6 linked regions of the Neurospora crassa OR74A genome follow. The protein of the gene in region 3 interacts with the protein of the main gene of each other region in a pairwise test. Links are inferred from orthologs where the notes say so. Each region holds a gene or a part of one and is shown on either strand. Other genes may lie near its edges.

The links.
Region 1: the proteins of NCU07319 (region 3) and NCU07727 interact in a protein complementation assay, tested with the Saccharomyces cerevisiae proteins (2 studies listed by BioGRID). The link is inferred for Neurospora crassa OR74A from reciprocal best matches to the Saccharomyces cerevisiae genes SEC27 and TVP15.
Region 2: the proteins of NCU07319 (region 3) and trp-2 interact in a protein complementation assay, tested with the Saccharomyces cerevisiae proteins (2 studies listed by BioGRID). The link is inferred for Neurospora crassa OR74A from reciprocal best matches to the Saccharomyces cerevisiae genes SEC27 and TRP2.
Region 4: the proteins of NCU07319 (region 3) and pro-1 interact in a protein complementation assay, tested with the Saccharomyces cerevisiae proteins (2 studies listed by BioGRID). The link is inferred for Neurospora crassa OR74A from reciprocal best matches to the Saccharomyces cerevisiae genes SEC27 and PRO3.
Region 5: the proteins of NCU07319 (region 3) and NCU03387 interact in a protein complementation assay, tested with the Saccharomyces cerevisiae proteins (2 studies listed by BioGRID). The link is inferred for Neurospora crassa OR74A from reciprocal best matches to the Saccharomyces cerevisiae genes SEC27 and SEC18.
Region 6: the proteins of NCU07319 (region 3) and NCU02538 interact in binary tests that used the Saccharomyces cerevisiae proteins (3 or more experiments, as listed by UniProt). The link is inferred for Neurospora crassa OR74A from reciprocal best matches to the Saccharomyces cerevisiae genes SEC27 and RET3.

Annotation. Positions count from the first base shown.
Region 1 is NC_026504.1:2,074,490-2,078,604, reverse strand, and holds NCU07727 (COPI-coated vesicle protein), read right to left. Parts: upstream 2,574-4,115; 5' UTR 2,319-2,573; coding exon 2,299-2,318; intron 2,139-2,298; coding exon 2,067-2,138; intron 1,809-2,066; coding exon 1,765-1,808; intron 1,697-1,764; coding exon 1,613-1,696; intron 1,533-1,612; coding exon 1,360-1,532; 3' UTR 939-1,359; downstream 1-938. Other genes in the region: NCU07726 (bcp-1), read right to left, coding at 1-372, 484-588; sre (siderophore regulation protein), read right to left, coding at 3,082-3,926, 3,992-4,115. UniProt on the Saccharomyces cerevisiae protein: Golgi membrane protein involved in vesicular trafficking.
Region 2 is NC_026506.1:3,652,875-3,657,895, forward strand, and holds trp-2 (anthranilate synthase component I), read right to left. Parts: upstream 2,965-5,021; 5' UTR 2,796-2,964; coding exon 2,620-2,795; intron 2,543-2,619; coding exon 970-2,542; 3' UTR 462-969; downstream 1-461. Other genes in the region: NCU05130 (hypothetical protein), read right to left, coding at 1-87; NCU17136 (hypothetical protein), read right to left, coding at 3,468-4,070.
Region 3 is NC_026504.1:4,378,860-4,383,895, forward strand, and holds the start of NCU07319 (coatomer beta' subunit), read right to left. Parts: upstream 3,291-5,036; 5' UTR 2,954-3,290; coding exon 2,936-2,953; intron 2,674-2,935; coding exon 2,650-2,673; intron 2,554-2,649; coding exon 2,508-2,553; intron 2,441-2,507; coding exon 2,299-2,440; intron 2,240-2,298; coding exon 2,049-2,239; intron 1,991-2,048; coding exon 1,791-1,990; intron 1,732-1,790; coding exon 1,606-1,731; intron 1,548-1,605; coding exon 1,307-1,547; intron 1,256-1,306; coding exon 1-1,255. Other genes in the region: NCU07318 (mannitol-1-phosphate 5-dehydrogenase), read right to left, coding at 4,210-5,036. UniProt on the Saccharomyces cerevisiae protein: The coatomer is a cytosolic protein complex that binds to dilysine motifs and reversibly associates with Golgi non-clathrin-coated vesicles, which further mediate biosynthetic protein transport from the ER, via the Golgi up to the trans Golgi network.
Region 4 is NC_026503.1:1,527,929-1,532,188, reverse strand, and holds pro-1 (pyrroline-5-carboxylate reductase), read right to left. Parts: upstream 2,367-4,260; 5' UTR 2,119-2,366; coding exon 2,061-2,118; intron 1,954-2,060; coding exon 1,013-1,953; 3' UTR 693-1,012; downstream 1-692. Other genes in the region: hat-1 (histone acetyltransferase type B catalytic subunit), read left to right, coding at 1-505; NCU06470 (hypothetical protein), read left to right, coding at 2,914-3,069, 3,238-3,414, 3,498-4,260.
Region 5 is NC_026502.1:886,938-891,658, reverse strand, and holds NCU03387 (vesicular-fusion protein SEC18), read left to right. Parts: upstream 1-1,605; 5' UTR 1,606-1,888; coding exon 1,889-2,247; intron 2,248-2,311; coding exon 2,312-4,514; 3' UTR 4,515-4,716; downstream 4,717-4,721. Other genes in the region: NCU03386 (hypothetical protein), read right to left, coding at 120-1,179, 1,234-1,241. UniProt on the Saccharomyces cerevisiae protein: Required for vesicle-mediated transport. Catalyzes the fusion of transport vesicles within the Golgi cisternae. Is also required for transport from the endoplasmic reticulum to the Golgi stack.
Region 6 is NC_026501.1:2,662,028-2,666,949, forward strand, and holds NCU02538 (coatomer zeta subunit), read right to left. Parts: upstream 3,194-4,922; 5' UTR 3,021-3,193; coding exon 2,981-3,020; intron 2,901-2,980; coding exon 2,799-2,900; intron 2,715-2,798; coding exon 2,474-2,714; intron 2,401-2,473; coding exon 2,157-2,400; 3' UTR 1,920-2,156; coding exon of another isoform or gene 393-1,919; 3' UTR 309-392; downstream 1-308. Other genes in the region: NCU11234 (translation initiation protein Sua5), read left to right, coding at 393-1,919; NCU02539 (cell division control protein 54), read left to right, coding at 3,695-4,019, 4,083-4,922. UniProt on the Saccharomyces cerevisiae protein: The coatomer is a cytosolic protein complex that binds to dilysine motifs and reversibly associates with Golgi non-clathrin-coated vesicles, which further mediate biosynthetic protein transport from the ER, via the Golgi up to the trans Golgi network.

The sequences.
Region 1 (4,115 bases), about 2.3 Mb from region 3:
GCGCTCCGACAGGACGATGCCCACTTGGGCCTTGCCGGAGGTGAACAACTCAGGCAGCACAGACAGGCTGGAATCACCGGCCTTGACGGCCTTGTCGGACAGGTACTCAATCAGCTGCGCGACCGGTTTCTTCTCGCGGTGCTCCCACGCGTTGAGCACGGTCAGGAAGGCGTAGGCGTCGTTGGCCTTGTCGTCCACCTTACACGTCGAGCCGATGGTGTTCTGCTCGATGATCATGTCGCTGAGCCCGGACAGGTCGAAGAGCTGGGCGTCAGCGTCGAAGAGCTGACGAAGAAGCGTTTTGACGCCGTGGAAGTCGATGTCCTTGTCGTAATTGAACAGCTCGAAGTCGACGTTGATGATATCCATGTCCTTGTTTCCAACCAATGTTAGTATTACGACTCCCGGCCAAGAGAGGTTCGACCAAGATGCAAGTGGTCGGTTTAACAACCGAGCCTGGTGCACCAAGGGAAAGTAACTCACCTCATCCGAGTCTGAGCTGTCACTATCCTCATCCATCTTATCGACTGTGGGGTCGTTCTGGACGACCTCCTTCTGGGCTTCCTCTCTCGATCTTTTCTTGCCCATCTTGAATGTGGTACTTGAACGACTCAATAAAAATGGTCCTTATTCGACTTGTCAGTCGCATATTCCACACATGATTGTGTTCACAGGGCTCCTTACTTGGTGATATGTGGTTGACTTTGAGGTCATTCAGGCCGTCAAGCTCAAAATTTTGTAATGCAGTTGTTTAAGATTGAAATTGATAAGAACCTTATCGCCTACCTGCATATACCCTAACCCTTCCAGCTTTAGATACAACAAAATGGTTGCTAGGACAACCACAATTGCCCAAACTCCAAAAAGGGGGGGATTTCCAACCACGTTCACCCAGTTAATGATCTGCCATTGTGGAAAACTGCCACCGCGAACGATAAATGGAAGATACTTCATCTTTACGGACAGTGCTTGTCTATGGATGCCAGAAGACTGCAGGCCAGTCCTATCCAAAATGTTGACTTGGCTGCACCATTGCTGCCCTCAAACTAAAGTATAAGCTAAATCGTTGATCTTCTTACACATCCTTGATGTTATCTACTGAAAGTAACTACGTACCCCTTGACTTGTGCTGCATTCAGCTGGCGCAACATATTCCTCAACATTCTGACACCAGTTGATCACCAGCAGCGCTCCTGAGTAGCTGTCAAACAGACCATCCTCCCGCTACTCTCACACCCCAAACGTCTCATCTTGGTATGGGTCGACATGACATTGTCGGCGGCCACAGAGCCCTTTTCATGCTTACATAACCAATTCTCGGCAGGGCATTACTTCCCAAATAGTGACGTGTATCACAAACTACACCTGCTCAGCGCCCCAGCCCGCATCCACCTCGCGCATGTTTGGAGGGGGCTCAATAGAGGGCACAAATTCGAGAGCGACATAGGCGACTCCGACAAGGAAGATGATCGAGCCGATAATGATTGTAGCCCAGTGTCCATGGGGAATGATGCAGCCGACGAAGATGTAAACTGTACAAAGAGTAGACCGACGATTAGTCACAATAACTCAGCAATAGCAGCAGAGGGGGGGTGGGGCAACAATAACGTACAAACACCACGACCAAGAAACGAGAACATGAACGACGCATAGCGGTAGACTTGGTGAGGGATCTGGAACTCCAGGAGACCGGTGGCTGTGAAGAACAGCGTCAGCGTTTCGGAAACCATTTGAATGTTTCTGTCGACGTATGCGACCACCTACCAACACCAAACAGGATCGTGTAGCACCCGAGGATAATTGGTTGACTGTCGACAGTAACTTGGTCAGTTTTACATCTCCATACGATTTCTATCAGCCTGCGCAACAGTCCGGACAAAGCATGTAACACCCTTGTGAGCATAGGCGGGCGCGCACTGGCAGCCGGGACATCCAGGCTTCAGGACCATGATCGATTTCGGCGACCGCCCAAGATTGCTGCGTCCACAATATCCGCTCGTGGAGGGAAGCGCATAACTTTGTACAGTCGGTCGGCTTGCTAACGGGCGTACAATGAGGAAACGTACATTCCGAGAGGGAAGAACTGGGAGACACCACCCAGGATCATAAGCACTGCAACCGCGAGGTTGACAAAGCGACTAGAGAGGAGGACATCATGTTAGCAAGTAGTTCTGAACCTCGAACGGATGCTTGGATGCACGCAGTATTGGGGGCCAGCGGTCTTGCTTGTTCTCCGCTCTCATCCCCTTCTTTCTTTTCTTTCTCCATAGTCGCACGAGCGGGCGGATGTGAACGTACAAAGAGTCGGAGAGATCCATTATGGCGTTGTTTTAGTAGTGGCTGTGGTGGTGGAGGAGGTGCGAATACGTCGCAAAGGTTGGTAGAATGTCGCAGGAACAGGTGCGATCTGCTGGGTTCGACGCAATCTAGAGAGCGATTCAAAATGAGTCTCGGAAATTTGCGCGAGCGTAGAGATAGATGTGGCCACTTGGTGGTGGTTCTTGACGGAGCAACGAAAGATGTTGTGAGGATGGTGTATTCTACAGTGTTGCCTGGAACAATCGAAGCTCGAGGTCAGGAAGCTGGTAGCCTCACCTGCACCAAACAGGAGGGTCGGGTGGTCCCTGCCGGGGTACATTGTCCACTAAACCGGCCCCAAACGCGCGCAACGTGGGAGCTCCGCCCTACGACGCTGATGCAAGCGTGCGCGGCCTCTTGTCACTGGCTCCTACGGCATGTCAGGGCAGGGGCTTTCCGTCTGGAACTTTGAAACTTCCATTGCCGCATCACACTTCGCCATTGCAGCGAGGGTGTTGCAATTAGGGTTTACAGCCATGAGACGGCTATTACTATGCAAAACCAAATCCACTGGACGGCATCGATGAATAGACGCATAACCACTATGCGGATACTATGACTAAAGGTCTCTGGCTCCAACTGTCATTGGGATTTCCTCAAAAAGACTATGCCTTCCGTTGCTATCTATCTATGCACAAGTCAAATTCCATGGGTATGCTCTCCCGAATAACTCCAGTTGTTTCCCCCGAATTCACAGCATGCCGCTTTTTCAGCCTCCGCATGTCAATCATAACCCAACTCGGCAAGCTCCCGTTCCTTTGCGGCCAGCAACTCTCTCATCATTTCGGCCTCGCGCTCCAACGCTGCTCTTCGCTCTGCCTTCATCCGCTCGCTATCATTGTGGGTATCTCTCGAGGCGCTCCGCAAAATCGGAGCTGATGTTGGTGTCCCAATAACCGTACTGTTTGAAAATGACCCTGGACTGTGTGCTGGAGTCAGACTGCTCATGGCTGGGGACCGGGAGGCTGGTTGCATCCGTAACTGGTCTGCCGGCGAAACCTCTCGGTGTATCTCAGAACTCGGCATCGGGTTGAGAATGGATTTGATGGAAGACAGGCGCTTATGACTTTCGTTGTCATTATGAGACGAAGGTTCGTTCTCTACAGCAGATATCGACCGCTTTCTCGATGGGGACAGAAATGATGCTGGTGAAATGGACGCTTGACGATCAACTGGGAGCGCCAGTGAATGAATGGGAGCCAGTCGATTCTCGTAAGTGAGAGATGCATGAGCCCCGTGGTGTGGTTGATTTGTATGAGATGAGTGGTACTGTCCCAAGGCGGCTGAAGACAGCGGGGATGCCTGTCTGTTTCGCCGCAATTCGTCCTCAGGCACGAGCGTCAATGGTCGCACTGAACGTCGGCGGATGCCGAGATTAACAGATCCATCTTCGTTGACCGTACCTTTCTCCATCGGAGGTTCTGATGTCGCGGGTGGTGAATCTGGAGCCTCACTTGGCTCAATTTCGGCATCACCTCCGGCGGCAGGAATCACACGTTTTCTCCGTTTGATTATTGCCTTTTTCATGGTCACTGGCCGATGCACACCGTGCAACTTGTAATAGAGACCTTTACTCGAGTTAGCAAATTCCATCCCATTTGTAACTTTTCAGGCCATAAGTTCATGCACTTACCGCACGCATTGCAAATGGTATGACCGGCTTCGTCCCTTCGCCAGAGCGGAGTAATGGTAGTACCGCAGTTTTGGCAAGCAATAACAACGGTTGTGTTTTGCGATTGTACGTGTAAGGCGGTGAT
Region 2 (5,021 bases), on a different chromosome or scaffold from region 3:
ACGGCGCTTTTGAGGTGCGCTTTTGCGGATGCCCTGGGATCGGTTGCCTGTCAAGGGCTGACCTCTCTGAGCTCGAGTGCGGACCATGATGACGACCCCGGACGGCAGGGTGCGGACGTGGTTAGGTGGGTGTTCGACGATAGAGGATGGAGCGGCAAATGGCTTGCCACGTTGTAAAAGAAATGGGGAGATGAGTTGGTTTGAATACTACTATGCAGTAGCGGCATGTTGTTCGAAGAATGCAAGATGAAGTTTAACGACGGAATAGAATCATGGGCGCGAATGAGTGGCCAGCCCAAGGCGCGTTCAAACCCGGGACCCACTATTCCCGGTCGCGGCAACCGAGCCAGTACATCATGTCAGGCTGTGATGTGGTCTCACGTGTGACAAGCTCGCCCTGACAAAAAAGGTGGCACCACTAGTTGCTGCGTTGACTGCCCCTGTAGCACCCGAAAAAGTGTCACCGTTCCAATCACCTTACACCTTTTTTGGGGGGGTAAATTAAAAAAACAAAGAGATCTTCTCCTATACGTTAACCGATGCAATACCCGCCGCTGAATAGGAGGGTTATATGTCTCCAGTATCTCGGCCTCGTTAACTATCTTACAAAGGCGCCTTAGTCCCGGTGCGGCGGGAAGACGGGCGCTTACAGTGTATACCCCGGAAAGCGGAGTGTTAGCAGGGAGAGGCCGTTGGCCGGTTCGCTTTAGCCAGTCGGGGAAATAGGAGCCGGGGAAAAGAATTCGGCGGCCGCCGAGAAGGGAAGGGTATATCGATGCTCATGGGACAGTTATCGCCGACAGGGTGGGACGTAGGACAGAGCAGTGGACTTGGCAGACAAGGACACCGAGTTTCACCCAGACCACACCTATCATGGGAAGGCTTCAGCCTGCAGCTCAAACATTGATTCACCTGGTATCCTGTTTTGACTGAGCCTTCACAACACACACAAATACACCATACTCGCAATTACGCCCCAGCGCTCATCGTCTGCAGCTTGTACTGCTCGTCGCCCTTCTTCCTCTCCTCCTCAATGATTTCCTGCACCGACTTGGATCCCGTACTTTCGCCGTAGTACTTCTCAGCCAGTTCGATGCAGCGCAAGTTGGCGGCCAACTTGTTCATGGTCTCCATCCACTCCTCCGTCTTCTCACTGTCAAATACAATACCACCGCCCGCCTGTAGGTAGGCAACCTTATTCTTGACCAACATGGTGCGGATAGCAATGCAGGTATCCATCTGTCCTTCGCTCAAGAAAGTGGTAACAGGGGCATCACCCTCACCACCTTCGACGCGAATGACATCATAGGCGAACCAACCGGCAGCGCCAGCGTAGATGCCGCGCTTCTCCTTCTCCAAGTCGTAAATCAGCTCCATGGCACGAATCTTGGGCGCGCCCGACACGGTACCGGCGGGGAAGATGGAGCGCAAAGCGTCCCAGCGGGTGCACTCGGGGCGCAGCAGACCGGAGACCTCCGAGGTGATATGTTGGACGTGTGAGAAACGGTCGATGCGCATGAGGCGGTCGACCTTGACGGTAGACGGGTGGCAGACACGGTTGACATCGTTGCGGGCCAAATCGACCAACATGACGTGCTCGGCGCGGTCCTTGGTTGAGGCCAGCAGCACGGCCGCAAGCTCATCGTCCTCCTCCGAGTTGAGGCCACGCTTGATGGTACCGGCAATGGCGTGGTTGACGATCCTGGGACGAGAGCGGGCCTCGGCAGCACTATAGCCAAAACGGGTATCCGTGGGAAGGTCGGCATAGCCGTCGGTCTTCATCAGGCATTCGGGCGAGGCGCCAACAATGTGGAAGTCAGAGCACGAGAGGAAGAAGAGGTACGGCGAGGGGTTGAGCGTGCGCAGGGTCCGGTAAATGTTGAAGGGGTGCAGGCTGGTGCTGCGAGAGAAGCGCTGGGATGGGACGGCCTGGATGATGTCACCCTTGACAATGTTCTTCTTGAGCTCCGTCACAAAGGTCTCGTAACCGTGGCGCCCAACGTTCGAAGCGAATGTCTGATCGGCGACGGGAGCGCTAGAGTCCTTGGGCGGGAGCGGCGTCTCTGGCTGGTTGATCACTTCGAGTGTCGAGCGAATGCTGTCGCAAGCCGCGTTGTAGGCCGCCTCGAAGTCGCCGGAGGGGTCCTCGGGAAGTCGGACATGGGTGACGACGGTGAAGGCGGAGGAGAAGTGGTCGAACGCAACCATGGTATCGTAGAGCATGAAAAGGGCCTCGGGGATGTGTAGGTTGTCCTTGAGTTCGCGACCCTTGACCGTCCTGGGCTCGAAGTACTTGATGCAGTCGTACGAGATGTAGCCGACAGCGCCGCCCGTCAGCTTGGGGAGTCGGAGGGAGGGGATGCTGAGGACCTTGTCCTGGCTGAGCTCCTGCTCAAGGGCCTTCATGGGATCGCCGACATCTTGGTAGCCGGGGCCGGTCTCGAGGACCTTTCGGGGGTTGGCGCCAATGAAGCTGTAGCGGCCGACAGTCTCGGTGCTGCCAGTGGCGCTCTCGAGGAGGAACGAGTACTCAGCTGTCGCTCTAGCCGAGTGAGTCAATTGAGCTATTCGGAACGGGACACACGGCGAGGGGGAGAGAGGTTTGGGAGGAAGACGCACCCTGCGGAGAGCTTGAGGTAGATGGCCGAGGGCGTCAAGAGGTCGGCAGGCAAGGAGATGCAGAGGGGGAGAAGGGTGGGCCTTGGGGATGCTGTCGAGGTCGCTGATGCTTGGCATGTCTGGTCGAAGAGCTTGCGCGCGTCCTCCAGGGACGGCCTGATGTCGAGGGCAGCCATCCTGAACAACTGAACTGTAACGTCTAAGCAAAGGAAGGCAGAAACGGAAACAGGAACAGGAGGGGATTCCCTGGGTGGAATTGGCACAGAGACAAGTGGAAAGAGTCAGTGGATGGATGTCAAAGTGACAACTGAATGAACCGGTCGCGGAGGAGACGGGACGCCATCGATCGCAGCCGTGAAAGTGGCATGCTTCCACTTGCCCTCCAACGCTATACATAATTTTACACCGCCTGCCGCGTTTGGTGACTCACGGAGTGGGGCTTCCTGCCAAAAGGTGCCGGAAGGGCGGGGTTTGTTCCTGGCTGAACGCAACCTTGACGGCCGATAAGCCGATAAGCCGGCATCAAAGGTGTACATCATGCACCAAGTGACGCTGTTAGTGTTTTCACATATTGCACTGCCTCCTGCTAACGATTAGTGTCTAAGTGAAAAGTCGCTGTATTGATGTTATTGAAGGACTGTTCCGGCTTCTATCCAAGACACCAGTGTCTGTTCATTATTCATTACATGTTATTCTGTCCGGACACTATACAGTTTAGGGAAAGAATATGTTCGTATCAATCAGTCATCAATTCGTTGCCTCGTCAATCCGTTACGCATGGCGCAATGCTCTATCATCCTAATTGAGCTTCTCCTTCCCATACTCCCAATCAGCTTCCATTCTTCCCCTTAATACCTCGAAACACTAACACTGCGACTCCGACTCCTCCTACTGCTCCTCCCCCTCCGATCATCATACACATGAGTCGGGTAGGCCACCACAACCGGCACCTCGCGCATCGAAGACGACCTCCTCGAATGGCTCCGGTGCCTAGAATGACCCCGATGATGGCTATGCGAATGCCTCGACCTCGATCGTGAGTGTCTCACCCCGCCCACGTGTCTGGGCGGGTATTCATCCCTCACGTCACCGTACCAAGCCTTGCTGTTGCGCTTGCCGTGTGTCGGTGGAGCGCCCAGGTTGAAGCAGCTGCGGATAATCCAGATGAGAAGAAGCAAGCCGACGATGGAGCCGATGACGATGCCGGCAATGGCGCCGCCGCTGAGGGTTTGCGCGTCATCAGGGTCGTTGTCGTTGTCGTTGTCGACTTGGACGAAGGTTACCGTGGCGGTGGGCGGGGCATCTTGCCGCCGGGTGATGGGGCTGAAGGTTCTTGTAGGGTGGATGGCTTCGACTCCTTGGAGAGCTGGGTGTACGATCCGTTTGAAGACAAAGTCTTGGAGTTTCTCGGCCGTTGAGGCGGGTATGCGTGGGAGTGGTAGGGGAGCCATGGTTGATGGTTTGTTTTGACTCGCGGACTTGGTGCTCTCGCTTCTTCAATGTGATGGAATGTGAAGACTGTTGTGAAGACTCCCGAGTATAACAGGCGGGTGAAGGCTAGTTATAAGGGTCCTTCATCTTGAAGAAATGTGTCCCTGGCATCTTAGGAACCAATGTTGTTCATCATGTCCATACATGTTTGCCGGCTTTTCAATCTCGTCTTGGTAGAGATTGGGACCGGTGATGTAATTGTACATGATGGAGGGCATCTTGCATCTGCCGATGATATTTTTGACTCGTTTCTTGCTTGAGGTCGAAGCCTGGATTCTGAATGGTTAGTCACGGAAACATGGCTGGATACGCGAATGGCTGGGCTGGGGAGGCACCAGCAGCCCAGTTGCCGATCACCTATGGCGTAGCTTCCTCGGCTCCAGGTATGTAAAAACGCGTCTCAAGAGGGCGACACATGATGGGATTCTTCCATTATCCCTTGAATCCGACAGAAGATGGTCCCTTCTTGGTGTGTTGTTGACTGCGCATAGCCTTCTTTAATCTTTCATATCGTGCCTTCGCGTTGGAGTGCTGAAGGCATATTCGCCGTGGTCACCACTCGTAATCAAGATGGGACAAAATTACCTCGAAGAGGATTTTCCCTGGGTGAGTGTGACATTGAGCAGGAATGGGCAGGTTCAATAATGGAAGACGTTTGGCGCGCCTCCTTCAATTGGAAGTCGTGACAGAGAACGGACAATTTGATTCGGTAGATGGATGATGTCATTTTATAGGCAGCATAAACTCCATCTCCCACCCGGGCGTTGTCTCGAACCCCTCCCTCCCTGCACCCTTCCACTTCTGCCGTCCACTTGTTGACGTGCATATTTCATTTCTCTCTCCATCTCAACTGCTCAGCCTTTTGCTGCTACCGGTCTTCGTATTGAGACTAGACTGCAATAGCAAAACAC
Region 3 (5,036 bases):
TTGAGGATCTCAATGCAGCCCTCGACGTCACCGAGTAGCCACTTGGCGCTGAAGGCGACGTTGTGCGCGCCTGCCTCTGTAGCTTGCTCAGCAAGCTTGGCAAGGCCTTCGCGGTCTGACGTCGAGCTGTAGACAAGCAACAGCGAACCGAGATCCTTTGCCTTGACGAAGCACTCGGTGGCAAGAGGCACATCCCAAGCAGCAAGGCCGGCATCACCAAGCGTCTTCCACTTGTGGTCCGCATCAGTCTCTCGTGCAATGTCCAGGGCGATGTGGAGCTGGCCAAGCGATAGCGCCAGATCGAACTTGTGCTCGGGGTCAGTTGCCACCTCAAGCGCGAGCTCCTTGTGGCCCTGTCCCTCAAGGAAGCGCGCAATCTTATTGAGCTGATCCTCAGGAATGCTTGGGAGTAGCTCGGCAGCCGTCTCCATATCCTCGCGAAGGACAAGAGTCTGGTACTCCAAAACGGGAAGCGAGAGCGCGAAAGAGGTAACATTAAGGTCCTTATCGGTGATGTAGACGCGGCCATCACGCTGGAGGTAACCCAAGATGTACATGGGCTTGTCGAAGTGGGCGATGGTGTAAGTCTGGTCGCCAACCAAGTAGTTTAGACGGTTGGTGCTGTTGGTGTAGATCAGGACATCTCCCAACCACTCCGCCGAACGGATACTCTCGCTGATGTCGGTAACGACATCAAACGCAGCCTCAACACCATCATCCTCGACAAGACCAGCCTGGACCGCTTCGTTATAGTTCTCTCTCGAGAACCTGAGGACGTAGGTGCTATCTTCGCAGGCAAGAGCAACCAGCTCGCCGCTCTCGCTCCAGTACACCTGCTTTGGCTCCACCTCAATGCGTCTGACAAGTCCACCCGTCCGCCAGTCGTAGAAGGAAATGCCACCTTGGCCCTTGACACCGAGGAGGACACCGCCGGTAAGACCGTCGGCAGCAAATGGGACGTCGAGACCGCCGACCTTGTTCTCGAAGTTCTTGAAGATCTTGACGCTGGTGGGAGACTCACGAATGGCGAACTCGTTTGTGCTGGAATACTCCTTGGAAGCCCACACAAAGTCGAGGGCTTGACCGAATGCCTTGTTTCTCCAGGCGAGCGCAGTGTAAACGATGTATTCGCCGTCGCCGCAAATAGCAGCGAACCGACCATTGGGAGAGTGGATGAGACTTTGGGGGTACACCTCGGCGGTTCCAAGCTCCTTGGTGGTGAGTGTGATAGGTTCGTTGTCCTTGATATCGGCATCTGATCCCTGTTAGCTCGGAGTCACTCTCGATGTTCCGTTTTGTAACTCACCAGCACCCTTGATCACGGCAGATACAACCTCATTGTGCCTGGCCCACACGATCTTGCCGGAGCCATCCATCGACACAGCGGGCTCTTCCCGACCAAGCTTGATGACCACCGAACCATCATCGAAACCAACAGCAATACCCTGCTTGCCCTTCTGATATGACACACACCATGCTCGCTCCAGGCCGTAGTTTAGCGATTGCTCGAACCTGTAGGTGTTGGCGTTCCATATCCTTATCGTGCCCTGCGGTTACGGTTAGTAATAGCCTGCGAGCGAGTGGACAGGTGCAATATCGACGTACGTCTTCCGAACCAGAGATAATAATAGGGAGCTCTGGGTGGTAGCAGGCAAAGGATACGTTGTTGGTGTGGCCTTCAAGAGTGGCGATCAAACTCTTGGTGGTATAGTCCCACACTTTCACCGTGCGCTGTGCCAGTAAAGTCAGCTGTGAAGTCCTATGCGCCAGCAGATGTCAATATAACTCACGTCATCAGAAGTTGTGAGAAGATAGGGTTTGTCGCTGTGGGGATAGTAATCGACGTGGTTGACGCCCTTGGTCTCGTGCGCCTCAAGCTGGAAGTTTGGTGTGGATGAACCCAAGCTCCAGATCTTGACTGTCCTGTCCAAACATGCCGAAGCAAAGGTGTTGGTATCTTTGGGGTTGATGGCGAGGGACATGACGTAGTCTGAAGCTCTGTTAGCACGCGCGCTCTGCTTCGATGTATCAGGCTGGTGGCGCCATACGTGAGTTGCCCTCGAATACCCGCACGTTCTTCCATCCCTTCTCCCAATCCCAAAGCTTGATCGTCATGTCATCACTGGCGGTAAGGACGAAGGGTTGTGTAGGATGGACGCAAATGGCTCTGATGTAGTCGGGATGCGCCTCGAAGGATGTGATCTTTTCGCTCGTGTTGTAGTTGTAGACTCGAATTTGGCTGGGATTCCAGGTCAGCCTTCCTGTCTAGCTCTAGCCCAAGTTCCATGTCGAACATACAAGTCATCGGAACCACAGATGATCCAGTTCTTTCGCGCAATGAAGCGACCAGCGCGGACGGGGACATCGGTAAGCTCGAAGGTCTTGACGATTTGTTGTGTCTCGTATGACCAGATATAGACGTGGCCGCTGTAGAGGGTCGCTAATCACCAAAGTAGTGTCAGAATTCAGGGCCCCTCCCATCGTATCGCGAGTCGAATCAGACGTACTCAGAATCCATGGCTCGGTAGGATGGAAGTCGATGCCCTTGACTCGCTATGTGCGGGATATGGGTGAGCAATGGGAACCTTGAATGTTGAAAGACTGCTTGGTACCGGAGAAATCAGGGGGTCAAGAGGACAGGTAACGAACCTCAGAGCGGGCAAACAACTGGCGCTGCATGTTGACAGGCATGTTAGCAGGTGTTTTCTAATGAGAGATGGCCCAGTTGGAGGCAGCGATGTGATGATGGACGTGTCGGCGCAATGGAGCTGGCCGTCGAGGTGCCGGTACAGCAGACGGAATAGGGGCAACTGGAAGATCCCAGGCCGAAGCTAAGGGAGGTGCAAGTGTGCGCCAGGTTGCAGAATCGGGTTGTTCTGTTGGGTCTCGGTGACACGGCCATGGTGGTGCAGACACGAAGCCTGTGCGAACTTGCCTTGACATCCAGCCTCATGTTGGGCGAGTTTGGGGTGGGTGTGTGGTGTGTGGTGTGTGGTGTTTACAAGTTGGAATTAGAGGACGGGGCGGTCGTAACGGTTCTCGAGCTTCCAAGCTTCAGGTGGGGTGCGTGCTGGATGCTGGAGATGGTCCCTGACCGTGCAAGAAAGCCGCCGTCGGGTTCGTCAGGGGTGAAGCTATCGGAAGTGGTGCAATCGTGGTTATATGTATTTGGTGTATTGGATATCTGGTCCGCCGAAGGGGGGGGGACGTGGTTGGCGGTACGAGGATTCGGAATAGAGGCTTCGGAGGCCTTGACACTTGATTGCGACGGGCCGGAAATGACAGCGGACGGTTGTAGAGGTGCCCGCCACGTATCTCGACCGGCCGCCGCCCACAATTTCGCGGCTGTGGTCTGCTCGCCGCTCGGGCCACTCTCTCCCTCAGGCGGTCAAGTGGGCACAGCTGCCGGCCACTGTCACTTCCTGCGCTCGCCAGCTGCTGCCTAAGGCAACGACCAACACTACAGCTTTGCGGATCTCTTGGCGCCCCCCTCACCGTCGGTGCATTCAGTGTTTGAAGCCATCACCATCGCCAAACCACGTCCAAAGTCGACCACTGGAGATCGTCAAAAACCAAAAGGCTTGGACCAACGCAACGGTCACTTTGTGAACGACTCAATTCCCAATCACATTTTGGAGGAGTGTCACACACGAGCAAATTTGCAAGATACGAGTATTTCAAAACCAAAAGGTCTCAGCGACGCAACAGGAGGCGCGACCGATGACGGTCAGTCGTCAAGTCGGTACTCCCATCCATTTTCATCGTTACTTAAAAACATTATCAGCAATCACCAAATATGGGCTCAAAGAAAAAGCTCGAAGCAGTGATCAAGTTCGACGCACTTTGCATACGACAACGTTACTGGAACATGGAGAAGAATTGAGTGTGAGTACTTCTTATTGACTTGAACTATATCTATCATTGCAAAGCGCTTCTAGTGATTGCGCAGAGACAATAATGAAGAAGAAAAAAGGGAAACCCAAAACCTCCAGGATGTCAATATGATCCCGGCTAAACGCCATTGATCCCAGTTGTATAATGCTCCGCGTTGATATCCCAGAAAGCAACCAAATGAACGCCATATTCTCCGGATTCCGAGGGTCCACGACACCGTTGCCCTATTCCCTATCCGTAAAGTCTTCGCTCATTTATCATAAGACATGAAGTAAGAATGGATACAAAACACACAAGTTGACAGAAATGCTCCATCTAGTCGTCGTGCAAGTCGGCCTGTACGCGCTGTACAACCTCGACCACCTTGGGGAACAGCTTCTCCTGCTCGTTCAAGCCGCAGACCTGCTTGACAACGTCCTCGGGCTTGTTGCTCGCCATGATCTTAGCAAGTTCGGCCGACTCCTCGTCGCCCTCGACGTTCTGGAAGCGGAACGCCATCTCAGCAGCATCGAGCAGAGCGCTGCAGTCCTTACCGTGTTCGGCAAGCTCGGCTGCGGGGCCGATGAACCGCTCCTTGCGGGACAGCTTCCGTAGGGGAGCACGGCCCACGCGCTCGACGGCATCCTCCAGGTGAGGGTTGCTGATGCGCCTGACAATCTTTTCAACGTACTCGTGCTGGGCCTGTTCGTCGATGCCGTGCTTTTGCGTAATGAGGTGGGATGTGTTCTCGAGCGCCTTCTTGACCTCTTCCTGGATGTCCTTATCTTGGAGAGCATCATAGACGGTGCTCTTGCGGCGGATGTAACCATGGTAGGCGGCCGTCGCGTGGCCGGTGTTGACAGTGTAGAGCTTACGCTCAATGTAGGGCAGCAGGTTGTCGACCCAGTTGATGCCCTTGATGTCGGGCGGCGACATGTCCTTGAAGGGAGTGCGGTCGACCACCCACTCATAAAACTTCTCAAGCTTGACATCCAAGCCTGCGTCGGCATCTTGGGCCGGAACAATGCGATCGATGGCCGAGTTGGCGAAACGGGCGCGCTTCTCATAATTCTCCAACCGGTGCGAGGGAGTGTTCTTAGGGTCCTTGATGTACTCGGCAAGAGTATCCGTCGCCCCAATGGCATTCTCGCAGGCAATGACAG
Region 4 (4,260 bases), on a different chromosome or scaffold from region 3:
GTTCAAGATCGTGCCTCGGCAGTTTGCCCGCGTGCTCGAGATGTACCTGATGTCCCAGCTCCCCGAGAGCGTCCGGCCAGGACTGGGCGCTCCCGAGGATGAGGACTACGAGGAGCAGAGCGGCAGAAGCAAGAGCAAGGGCCATGAAAAGGCCCTGCCAAAGCCCACCCCCGAAGACGAGCATACGTATAGGTTATGGATGATGCTCGTCAAGCGGAGGCTATACGTGCACAACAGGGACGCGCTGGGCCAGCTGGAGCTTAAGGAGCGCAGGGAGGAGCTGGCCAAGGTTTTTGCTGGTGTGGAGTTTGATTATGCTCGGTTGCTGATCAAGGCTGAGGAGCAGGGCAAGCTGGCTCAGGCTGATGGTGAGACTGCCGGTGATCAAGTGCCGGCTACTCCTTCTGCTGCTAATGGTAAGCGCAAGTTGGACGAGGTTGAGCAGGCGGAGGGAACAGCTGCTGCGTCGAGCAAAAAGGCCAAGGTCGAGAGCGGACATGCATAGAGCCTACCTCTCTACCCATGTCCAAGTCCAAAGTACAGGAGGGATGGGTGGTCAATGGTACCTGTAGGGGTTTGAGCATCGAAAATATGGCATTTTTCCCCGTATGATATGAGGTGGTATCCATAATGCATACTAGCCTAAGTATGCTTGGGGTGGATGTCTTGCACATAGGTTGAAAGTAGCATTGTTGGTGCGAGCATATGTTTTTCCCTGTATGACTCTATTTGTTGTTTGTTTGTACATATTGAAAGGGCGTCTGGCGCCTTTTTATGTTCTCTAACTATCTATGAACCTCGACCCATTCTTTCTGAGGGGGGTTGGAGATAAATAATGTCATGAACCTCCGTGTGCGGTTCACTATCCACCTGTCTGTCTACCTTTGGTATTTCGGTTTCGAGACTTTCTAGGTTTTCCGTCTAGAGGTAGGCTTTTACCAACACCGTCTAGGACCTCCCTTCGGCAGACCCCGCCCACTCCATATCCTCACCTCCCCTTTTCTCTAGGGCTCTAATGCCTAGTACCATTGACATTCTTCGCTCCCCCTCCTCCCAACAAGCTCGCAACAACCGTCGCCTCCCTAACCGCCCTCGCAACCGCCGCTCTAACCCCACCCTCTTCCAACACCAACAACCCGCCAATCGTGCACCCGCCCGGCGTGCTCACCTTCTCCCTCAAGATCGCCGGATGCTCTCCCTCCAGCACGAGCCCAGCAGCACCCCTCATGGTCTGCGCCGCCATCCTGTTCGCCTCCGCCCTAGGCAACCCCATCGCCACACCTCCATCCGCCGCCGCCTCCATCATCAGCGCGAAGAACGCCGTGCCCGAAGCACACAAAGAAGTGCACGCGTCCATCAAGTGCGGAGGCAAATACACGACCTCGCCGATCCTCTCAAAAATCCACGTCAGCAGCTCCGTGACGGTATCCGGCAGCGGGGGGTCAACCGTGTTGATAACCGTCATGCTCTCTCTGATCTTGCTGGCCGTGTTGGGCATCGCGCGCACCACAATCGGCAAGTTATCAGCGGACAGTCCGACGTCCTCGCGCAAGACCCGCTCCAGGTCCGGAACCGTCACGCCCGCGCAGATGGAAATGATGATCTTTTGGGACCGCGCGTGGCCTTCGGTGTGCTTGACTGTCAGAGCATCTTTCATGCCGGATGCGGAAAGTAGGCCAGAGACCATGTAGGGCTTGCACCCGAGGAGGATGATGTCGGCTTCGGCGGCGGCGGAGACGTTGGAGGTGGATTGGAGGACGCGCAGAGTAGAAACGGAGGGCTTGACGAGCGGGGAGAGGGCGGACTCGACTTTGGCGACGGAGGATGGGGAGCGCACGGTGGCGATGAAGTGGCGCGGGAGGGCGGGGGGGTTGGTGGGTGGTGGAGAGGGGTCTTGGGCGATGGAGGAAAGGGAGGAGAGGATGCCGGAGAGGATGGAGATGCCCATCGTTCCTGGACGAGGGTAGGGTTAGTGCCATGTCTGACATTATTTGGGCAAGGGAAGGAAGGGGGTTGTGACGGGCGTGTGAGGTGAGTGAGATTTGGGAAGGATCACTTACCGCAGCCGAGAACGGCCATGGTGAGCTCGGAGGAGCTCTTTACTTGAGGAGCAGCCATGTTCTTGATGTTGTGTGTCGTGGGTGGTGGTGGTTTTAAGAAATTGAGTTGAAAGTGGAAAGGTTCGACAGTTGTTGTTTACTCGGGTCGTCCAAAATTGGAAGAGAATAAATAAACGAGTTGGTTCCTGTCGGAGAGATAAGAAAAAGAGGTCGATCAGTGAAGTGTGAAGACGATCTCGATGAGGCCCAAAACGGGAACTTATTCATCGATCCTGAGTTGTGATATCACTTTATCGGTCAGTGGAGAGTTTGCCGCTGTAAACAGACCCCACTAGGACCCCGGTATCGCTACCACACAGTACTAAGAGAACTAGCGCCTCGTTAACATGCTCACCGCCTGCTATATGCGGGTTAGTGTGGTTACCCAAGTTCAACGTCCTTTCTTCTTTTTGAATGCTCGTGTTGTTGGCGACGACAACCTTGAAATGCTTTCGTGCCTGTCATATTCATGATTTCCGTGTTCACTCGACATCTCAAGTTCAAGTTGGCGTCAGTTGCAGAACTGAGCAAATTTTGAAAATTAAAAGCAGGTGCAGATGAGCCAGTTATGCAAGCGCATTGAAGCACGACAGCAGATAATTAAAGTATATAAACATCGGGCAAGGTGAACAATTGGAGTAACTCAACTACATCCATTCATTCACTTACACCCGAACAACAACCCATAGCAGTTTCAGTCACACCAGGGTCCCTTCTTTTCCCACCCCAACTACATCACTTACACAACTGAAACATCTTCAACAACTACCAGCATCTAGACGCAAAACAACATACATCACCAAAAAAAGCAAAAATGGCCGACCCTTTCGAGGTGCGCATGCGCTTCACAAACCAGCTCCGCCAACTAAGTGCCTCCGTGACATCCTCGCAAAAGGCAGCACAGTATGCTCTCCGACACAAGGATCTAGCTGAAGATTTGCACTCTTGCATTCTGGAGCAACTTGAAAGGGTGTGTTTATCTTTTATCTTCATGTTTGCTCAGTCAATCAATCATTTTGGGAAGAAGACGAGTTGAGCTGGTGTCAAACCATCCAGCCTCACCCTCATCGGCTCATCCCTCCCCCTACCCCCGCGGCTCGTTGGCTCAATCAAGACATTCACTAACAAAGGTTCCCAGAGCAATCTCAACATGCGAGCCAACATCATGTACTTCATCGAGCACTTTCTCGACATGGCCTACAAAGACGGACAAGAGGATTACATCCGCATGATGCAGCGGGACATTATTCGTGTGGTCGATGCCGTGGCGCCAGATGACGGGTCAGGGGCGGCTAACGTCAAGGTTGTCCGCAAGGTTTGTGTTTTTGCCTTTCTCACCCGTCTTTATCCCCCCCCTAATCCTCAGCCAATGCTAAAAACAACACAAACATACAACAGGTCCTCCAAGCCCTCCACGCCAAATCCTTTCTCGACGCCACCATCCTAACCGACATCTTTGAAGTCCTCCGCGAACGCGGCGAATCCTACGTTTCCTCCCAAGGGGACCTCGTCCTCTCCCCTTCTGCCAACAACAACAACAACCTTTCAGCAGCAGCATCGGGATACGATACCAACATGCCCCCCTCGCAAACCGCCATCCACTCTTCCTCCTACCCTCCTCCTTTTCCTCCATCTTCTTCCACAGCAGCAGCAGGTACCCTCCCCACCAGCACCAACGCCACCAATGCCGCCGGCGGACCTTCCTCTAGCAACCAACAGCATAGCAATTTGAGCAAACGCGGCGGAGGCGTCAACACTGCCGCCCCTCGTCTCGACAAGAAACAAGTTGAGCAACGTATCGAGGAGGATCGTGAGCGGCATAAGAGGCTGAGGGAGAACATCTGGGCGGTGCCGAGCGGAGACGAGCTGGATAGATTGCTGGAGGAGACGTCAGAGTTGGGGGATGACGACATGAGGGCGATATGGGAAGAGCAGGAGGAGTGGGAGAGGAGTTTGCAGGCGGGGATTGGAGGGATTGGAGGGAGTGGTGGTGCGGGGTGTGGGCATACTACCTCTACCAGTAACGGGGGTGAGAGGGATGATGGTATGAATGGGAATAACATGAAGGAAAAGCCAATGTCGATTAGTGGGGAGATTGCCGAGATGGCGAGGAGGAAGCAGCTGCAGCAGCTGGAAAAGGAGCAACAGGAGAAGCAAGATA
Region 5 (4,721 bases), on a different chromosome or scaffold from region 3:
TGATGGTCATGCTTACCATCATGGGCATCACGGTCTTTGTGCTTGCGATACTCGCGATCGTCTCGGTCCTTGCTAGACCGTCTATGGTGCCTGTCACGAGAGTGATCTCTCCTCCTTTCCTAATCTCTTTCACTTCCGCGGCTTCGTTCTCGGTCACGATTTCTCTCCCTTTCCTCATGGTGACGACCCCGTTTGTGGTCCCTGTCATGGCCATGGTGACGGTCGCGGTGTCGGTCTCTATCTCGCGATCGGTCTCGATCATGGTCCCGTTCCCGCCTCTCCGACCGAGACCGCCTACCACAGTCAGATTCGTCACCAGACGCTCTACTATCATGTTTTTCCTTGCGATATTCTGTTCGCCTCCTCTTTTCTCGTCGTCGCTCTTCTTTTCGCAATTCCTTTAGCTCCCTTTGCCTCTCCTCATTCTCCCGTTCCCGTTCCTTGTTGAGATCACGCACCATCTTGGCACCCCTCTTCATCATCGCTAAAGGATCACTTGCACTCAGTCTTTCCACCTCACGAGCCTTCCGTCCGGGATCCTCCTTGCCGAACACGTTCTTGGATGGCACCAACGCAGCAACGTCGCCATCCGGTGTCGCATACCAGGGGCCATTTCTGGCTAACAAGCCTTCCGCATCCCTGCCAGCCGCACTGGTAAAGCGTACCTGATGCTGCTCCGCTTCCTCACGCTTTTTCTTGGCTGCTTCTGTCTCTGTTATCTCATCCTTCTCTACAAGCCTCAGCTCCTCTTCAGAAAACAACGTGATATGACCCCTGCTATCGACCAGCGATGCAGTAGTAGCAGTGATGGAAGTCGACTTCACTGGGCCAGACAGCTCCCTCGCCGCATTTTGCCCTGCCGTGGCCCGTTCCCGCGCTATCCTCATTTCAAAATCGGTGTCATCCTCGCCTGCTCGCTTGCGTTTGCGTCCTTCTATCAGAGGATCACGTTCACGCTGACGGCGCCCATGATCATGGCTGGATTCTGATGCTGGCGGTTGCTCCTCAAGTGGCGGCGGAACTTCACCGCGCAGAATGGCTAGACGACGTTCGGCGTCGACCTGTTGCATGCGTTGCTCCTCAGCTTCCTCGCGAGCACGGGCCTCGGCCTCGTCACGGCGGACGCGGGCGACGTTGTCTGTGTTGTAGACGTTCCATGATTTCTTTCCGAGAAGGTGACTTGTATGCTGTTGGTAATTGTTGCTTGGATAAAAGGAGTCAGTATTCACTCACAGAGGCATATTGACGTTGGGACAAACGATGAAATCGTCTCCCTTCAAGTGATTGGATAGTTGAAGACGACAACATTGGGAGAACCAGGAAGCACCTCTACTTGGAGTCAGTCTTCTTATCTTATCTTGCGGCCAACACGTGCCCCGCTCTTTGACGTACGTTGGTCCCGTTGGTCAGGGGCGAGTCCAGGCTGGGCGCCAGGGGACCAAGTCTGGGGATACACCACTAATTGAAAGCTGGCGCCTTTGTACAAGTAATCTGACAATATGCTCCATAGTACAGCCGCCATTGACACCATTTCCTGTACAGCGTCAGGGACACAGCTGAAACCACCCAACGTAGTAATAGCGTTCCCTTGACACAACAGACCTCCATCCGCATCCCCTCCTCTCTCAACTCAACAAAACACCGAAGCTCAGCCTCAAAGGACAGGCATCTTCTGTGGTCATACCCGGCTATATCGTCAATTACAATCAACCGAACCAACATCCACGACGTGTCTACGTACTTGCGCGCGAATCCAGTGCGCCCACTCCACGCTCCAACGAGACATAGATAAACACCACCAAGGGCGACTGGTTCTCCCCATTTACGTCCACTCACCTACTACTCCTCCTCGATACCCGTAACTTATAATCCACACACGACACTCACCATGGATATTCGAGGCAACCTCTTCGGCAAGAAGCCCCAAACCCCACAAGGAGGAGCTGGTCTCCCCGGTCGTCCCGTCCAACAAGCAGCCGGAGGCGGATACGGCGGCGGCGCAACACCAACCAACTACGGCAGCCCAGGTGGTCGCGCTCCCTCTCAGCCCCAATACTCTGGCAGCGGCGCTGGAGGATATGGAGGTGCGCCATCTGAAAAGAGCTATGGCGGCGGCGGTGGCGGTGGTTACGGCGGACAGCCCGCTCCTGGCGGATACCCTTCTCAGCCAGCCGGTCGCGGTGTCCCCCTTCGGCTCGCAAAGGTGGATGACAAGACGTTGCAGAGTCTCTACATCTTTGGCAACATGTGAGTTCCCTGCGCTACCCATGGTCAGTCTATCCAATCCAAAGTTGTTAACCTCGTACTTTAGTTGCGCCGTATCGCCCAATGATTTCCCCCCGAACCACGATGGCACCGATCTATACATCCGCTTGACAGGAAGACAGCTACGAGGAGATTACGTGGTGACGGCACGCCCCACCCCCGGCTTCCGTCCGGGTCACATCAGCTTGTCAGACCCCCAGCGAACATGGTGCGGAGTTGGCATGATGGACGAGTTGATGGGAGAGGTCTACGATCCCTTTGCCCGTGGAGGCGACGCCTACATTGGCTCCATGGATGTTGAGATCGGATTTGCGTCAACCAACCGAATCGTCGATACCCCCTATGACCAGGATGAGCTGGCCAAAGTGTTCCTCAAGACTTTCCAGAACCAGGTCTTTGCTCCTGGTCAGAGGTTCCTGCTTGACGTCAAGAACATCCCTTTGGCTGTCATGGTCAAGACGGTCACTCTGGTTGACCTGACCATGCTGGGATCGGGCGAGGCTCCCACACGCAGTGACCCTGGAGCACGCGGTATTCTCACCAACCAGGCCAGCATTGGCTTCTACAAGGATGCCAGGTCACCCATCAAGCTCAAGGGCTCCAACAAGCGCCCAGCGGCCAACGCCATCATCGCCCCAGACTTCAAGTTCGAGAATATGGGCATTGGTGGTCTGGATACCGAGTTCTCCACCATCTTCCGTCGTGCCTTTGCCTCTCGTATCTTCCCTCCCGGACTCATCGAGAAACTTGGCATCATGCACGTCAAGGGTATGCTGCTGTATGGTCCTCCCGGTACCGGAAAGACCCTGATTGCCAGACAGATCGGCAAGATGCTCAACGCCAGGGAACCCAAGGTCATCAACGGTCCTGAAGTGCTGAACAAGTACGTTGGTCAGTCTGAAGAGAACATCCGTAAGCTCTTCGCCGATGCCGAGAAGGAGTACAAGGAGAAGGGAGACGAGTCCGGCTTGCACATTATCATCTTCGATGAGTTGGATGCTGTGTGCAAGCAGAGAGGTTCGGGTGCTGGTGGTGGTACCGGCGTCGGAGACAGTGTTGTCAACCAGCTGCTCTCCAAGCTTGACGGTGTCGACCAGCTCAACAACATCCTCCTTATCGGAATGACCAACCGTAAGGACATGATCGACGATGCCCTGCTTCGTCCTGGTCGTCTCGAGGTTCAAATCGAGATCTCGCTTCCCGACGAGCATGGCCGTGGCCAGATTCTCAAGATCCACACCTCCAAGATGAAGGAGAACAAGGTCATGGCTGACGACGTTGACCTCGCTGAGCTTGCCACTCTTACAAAGAACTTTTCTGGTGCCGAGTTGAGCGGTCTCGTCAAATCCGCTACCTCGTACGCCTTCTCCCGACACATCAAAGTCGGCACCATGGCTGGCGTTTCAGAGGACGTGGCCAACATGAAGGTCAACCGCCAGGATTTCCTCAACGCCCTCGACGAAGTCAAGCCCGCCTTCGGCGCCGACGAGTCCGAGCTTGAGAAGCACCTGGCTTACGGCGTCATCCACTATTCCAAGAGTATCACGTCGATCCTGGAAGACGGTCTGCTCTACGTCAATAACGTGCGCAAGCTCGAGCGCCTCAAGCACATGACCGTCCTCCTTCACGGCCCTTCGGCCTCTGGAAAGACGGCTTTGGCCGCCCATATCGCCATGAAGTCCGACTTCCCCTTCATCAAGTTCATCACCCCCACCGACATGGTCGGCTTCCGCGACGAGGTGGCCAAGAAGGATTACATGCACAAGATCTTCACCGACGCCTACAAGTCCCCGCTCTCCCTCCTCATTATTGACAACATCGAGCGCATTATCGAATGGAACCCCGTCGGCCCGCGCCTGTCCAACACCATCCTCCAGGCCCTCGTCACCCTTTTGGTTACTCCTCCACCTAAGGGCCACCGTCTCTTGATTCTCGCCACGACTTCGCAGCGTACCGTCATGGAACAGTTGGACGTCACTGAGTCGTTTGACTACCAGATTGCCGTTCCCGCTGTGAACAACCTCCAGGAGTTGGGCGCAGTGTTGAACGAGGTGGGAGCGTTTGGTGGCGACCAGGCGGCTGTCAGTGAGGTGTTGAATACCCTACGCGAGTATACCGGGTCGGATAGCGTGGGTGTGGGTGTCAGGACGATCCTGACGATTGCGGAGAGCGCGGACACGAGTCCTGATCCGAAGGGATGGTTCGTGGAGAAGATGGCCGGGTTGATTGCTCGGTATAATGTTAGGTAGAGAGAGAGAACTAGAGCTGTAGACAAGGAGGTATATACATTAATATGGGTATATGGGTGGATATCAAGTGGATGAGCTTCAGGATATAGACAGTGATGCCTTTTGGGAATAGAAGTAGGTTAATGATGACCACTACTTTGTTATAACTGTTCCAGTCTTGTTCCGAATCTTACCCCTGCGTTTCATGGGAAACCAAACGCGAGCGTT
Region 6 (4,922 bases), on a different chromosome or scaffold from region 3:
CAGGTATAGATAAGCGGTATCATACAAACAATTCACGAATCACAATATGTGTTGGTAGATGAATTACTATCCATAGTTCAGCAAGATTGAAGAGGCCGTCCATGCTCAACATGTGTTGTAGTTAAGTTTTGTTGTGGTGGTGATTGTAAGATGAGCAGCCTAGAATAGGGCGTAAACTGGTTTTGGGTTCAAGTTGAGACGGATAAAAGAGAAAAATTTCTCCACAGTGACTCAAAGGGAGCCAAACCCTGAGCTTGACCACCACCACCAAGTTCGAGACTTGTTGTCTAACACAACCGATGCCTCACAAGATATCCGTTGCCTAAAATCGCCAAGATAATCGACAGACTCTGGGTTTTCAATCCATCTCTCGAAATCGTCGAATCCCCTGAATGAAGGGAACTATTTGCGCCAATATTCTAACTCTCACTACCCGATTCAAACGCTTGCACCTCCCACAACTCACCCCAATCCTCAATCGACACCACCACACTATAACCACAGACATAACTAGACCAAAATCTACGGCAGTGCCATTGATGGCACCCGCTATGACAACTTCGACGACAATGGAAACCCGGATTCTCAAAGTGAAGGTGGACGACAGCAACATCCAAGTGCTCGGCCACTGGAAGGAGGAGTCAGCAGAACACAAAGATGGAAGCAAAACGAAAACTAGCAATCTCAACACATGGGAGGTCCCAACTACATCAGAAAATGAGAATATACTGTCTCCCATCCGCGAAGCAGCCCACCACCTCCGCACCACCGACATTCCTGTCGCCTTCCCCACGGAAACCGTCTACGGCCTAGGCGCCGATGCCACCCGCAGCGCTGCCGTCAAGGGAATCTATGCCGCCAAAGGTCGACCAAGCGATAATCCTTTGATCGTGCACGTTTGCGATTTGAGCATGTTACGGTCATTCATCTCTCCCTCCTTCTCCTCAGCAGGAGACGAAGAAGACCCCATCCCAGCCATCTATCACCCCCTCATAACCCGCTTCTGGCCCGGCCCCCTCACCATCCTGCTACCCAACCCCTCCCCCTCCCTCCTCGCTCCGGAAGTAACCGCCGGCCTACCCACATTCGGGTGCCGAATGCCCGCCTCGGCGCTGGCTCGCTCGCTGATCAAACTCGCCAACGCCCCCCTCGCCGCGCCCTCTGCGAACGCCAGCACTAAACCCAGCCCCACCGCCGCACAACACGTGTTAGACGATCTACGGGGTCGCATCGCACTGATCTTGGATGGAGGATCATGCAGCGTAGGGGTGGAAAGCACGGTCGTCGACGGGCTTTGCTCGCCGCCTGTGGTGCTGAGGCCGGGCGGGGTCAGCTTGGAGGAGATTAGGGAGTGTAAGGGGTGGGAAGGCGTGGAGAAGGCGTATAAGGATCAGGCAGAGGTCGGAGGAAAGACGGCGCCGAGAGCGCCGGGGATGAAGTATAAGCATTATAGCCCGAAGGCGAGGGTGGTGTTGTATGAGGCGGAGGGAGGGAGGAGGGAGGTACCGAAGGCGGATGTGAGGGAGGCGGTTGAAGCGGCTGGGGAGGAGGAGGGCAAGGGAAACGTGAAGAGTGTTGCGGTTATTAGGACGGGGAGATGGCCTGTTGCCGGGGGGTTGAGGAGTCAGGGGCTTGATGATGTTGCTGCGAAGGACAGCGGGGACGTGGCCGAGACTGGGTTCGCTGTCAGGGAAGGGCAATGGCTGGATGAGGACGGCACCACGGTGTTGGCAAGGCTTCTGGAGATTGATCTGGGCAACGATGTCAAGGGGGTGGCACATGGCCTTTTCGCTGCCCTCCGAGAGCTGGACAGGCGCGGCGCGGATGTAATATTCGTAGAGGGTGTGAGTGATGGAGACGATATCGCGGCGGCGGTCATGAACAGGCTGAGGAAAGCCGCTTCCGACATTAGAATATAGACGGGGTCAAACCCTATAGATCGCAAGGGAAAAGACTATAACTCCTGTTTTCTGCTAACCCATCACTTGTTGGCTTTTCGTGTCTTTTTGCTTCGCCTTTGGCTCATTACTCTGCCATAAAAAGGCTCGCCAAACAAAAGGGCCTGATACCTTTTTACGAACCAATGCGCCAACTTTACCTTGGTTGCTCCCATCCGCCACACTCCTTCCCTTGTCATTACCCACCCGCACATGCCCTTAGAGACCCTGACGAAGCCAGTCAGTAAGCTTAGCCTTGCCTAGTTGTGCCAAGTTGTTGACACCCTGCTCGGTGAAGGGGTCGAGGCGGCTGAGGTTGACATCGGCAGGCGGCGCCTTGCTGCATCGTTGAATGATGATGGTGGGATCGGTCTCGAGAACAACGCCGTCATCCACGATTTCGTCGATAGCGAGGGATACCAGATCGTAGTTTTCGACTATCGTGCGCTTGTCGATCGATTGCCTGAGTAGAAAGTCCGTGGTTAGCCAAATCATGTCCCATGACCGGCACCTTCACGTTCGCCATAAATACTCACTTGAAGAGCATATGCAAGCTGTCCCTAAGCGCCAAAAGTACGTTGTAGAGCAGAACTTCGTTCTCGTCCGCGCTACCAACGACGTAGATAGCAACGTCCGACTCCATCTTGTAAAGCACCACCTTGTTGTCGTAGAGGAGGATATCGCCCGTCTGCTTAGCTGTCTTCTGAAGGAGGCCCTTCTCGAAACGGGTTTGAGAAGTCTTGTCGGGATAGGGGTTCTGGGAAGCGCTCGAGGAAGCTGTTGTGCACAAGGTTCGGGCTGGTCAGCCTTACGGGAACATGCGACACCGAATAAGGGGTAAAAGGAGCGTCTATTGCGTACCGAGTCCGGCGGCCACTCCTGTTCCTGGTGCGCCAGCGGCAGCGTGAGGAGGAGTGTAGTATTTTGAGAATATCCGCGAACCGTCATCGCTGGAGAGGATTACTGTTGGAACGCAATTGTCAACATTGCTCGACGTGGCGCGTATAAGCCAGGACCCAGGAGCAGCGTGGTGCCTAGTGTACCTATAGCGTTGACGCTATACAGCGACATTCCTGGCGACATCTTGACTGGTTATCTGGGGGTTCTTGTTTCTTGATCAATTGCTGTCTCGAGACTGGTATCGGTTGGAGAAGGTCGGCGACGAGGGGCAACTCGACTTCAATGGGCGCAAGTGGGTAGGTATATAGTGGTTAGCTTGAACTCCAGAGGTGCTGCGTAGGTAGGTAGTGCTCACAATGACCAGGGGCAGGCGGTATCGTTGGTTACCGTGGTGAGCGTGGGTATTGTGGGGTGAAGCGGTCCCTGTGATGTGGCTTGAATCCAGAGCGAACACTCCAAGCGAGGCCCCACGGCGCGGTACGTACCTTACGTACCTGACAGTTCGCACTCAAGAGCAGCACTGCAGTGGCCTCGTCCGTCTCATTTGGGTATGACAGGGGTTTTAATGGGTCAACGCGAGTAAGCCCCCGCAGACACGAACGGCCGTGTAAAGTGCTTTTATCAGAGACGCGTGTGTCGCGACTGTCTTTTTTTTCGATAGGAACGTGATCCACCTTGCCCGTCCTGAACACGCTGCCGACCTGCCAACCACCTCGCAATTACAGAGGGATCGGGAGCCGCCACAACAACACTCCAGCGTCTCCATCCCAACCTGCCCGTCTTCTGTCCCTTCTTGTTGGTTTAGTTTCCATACTTTGTATTATCTCAACAAAACCACCGAGGACAGAGTAGTAAACATGTCTTCCCCAGCAAAGCGCAGAACAACGAGAAGCTCCCAATCAGCTACTCCCCGCACTACTCGCAGCTCGCAGGCTGGTCCTTCGAGCGCAACTCCTCGCCAGACACGCGCATCACAGCTTGCCTCTAGTCCCTTATTCTACGAGCCCTCCTCGCCTGCCAATGGCGCCGCCCCGGTATCTTCTCCCTTGAGGCAGATGAGCAATACCCAGAGCACTGCCCACCAAGGCAATGCGCCGAGCTCGCCTTTGCGCCAGCAGACAGAGACCCAGAGCGATGCTGACCGAACTCCTCGCGCAAACGGACGGAGCCAGTTAATTGGGGGTATGGCTGTCAACCAAAAAAAAAAAAAAAAGGACTACACTGAATGCTGACCACACTCCGCAGACTCCTCTCCCATCCGCTATGCCTCCAGTTCTAGCCCGGGCCGTCAGCTTACTCAACAGTCCGATCTTCGTAGCGAAAGCAGTCAGCTCTTCGTCAGCTCGCAAAGGTCCGTTGCCGGTCGATCCCGTCGAGGCGACATCAACGGGGACCCTCTTCGTACTCCCGCCCAGATTCCCCGCCGAATCATCCTCGACGACGCCGGTCGTGTGATCCGCGATGCCCCTGGCTCCGATGCCAACTCGTTTGTCACCAATAACCCCAATACCTCTGAGGCAGATGCCCTTGGTGGACAAAGCCAAGGTCTTGTTTGGGGTACAACAATTTCTCTTGACGATTCGTTCTCCGCGTTCAAGGACTTTCTCAGGAACTTCACCAGGAAATACCGGATGTGGGCAGATGGCGCGGACGAGGCCGAGACTATTGGCCATCCGGATGCGGATTCGAAGCCATATTGGGAGGCACTGGAGAATATGCTGCTGCTTGGTACCAACAAGCTGTATCTGGATCTCCGCGACCTCAAGTCCTACCCGCGCACCTTGAAGTTATGGCATCAGGCCCAACACTATCCTACCGAAATCATCCCGGTCATGGATCAATGCGTACATGACTGTATGATGGAGTTGGCGCAAAAGGAAATGGCCAGCCAAAGAGCATCCCAAAACTCTAGGACCGCTCCAGGTGCCTCACAAAGCTCGGAGCCGAACTTCCCAAGCTCTGAAAGGAGCGAGGAACCGCCCACCCCGCGGCCTGCCCAAACAGCGGCGCCCACAATTGAGGACCAAGTCAGCCAGATGGCGTATGTGGTTCGCCCGTGGGGTCTTGACAAGATCACCAACCTCC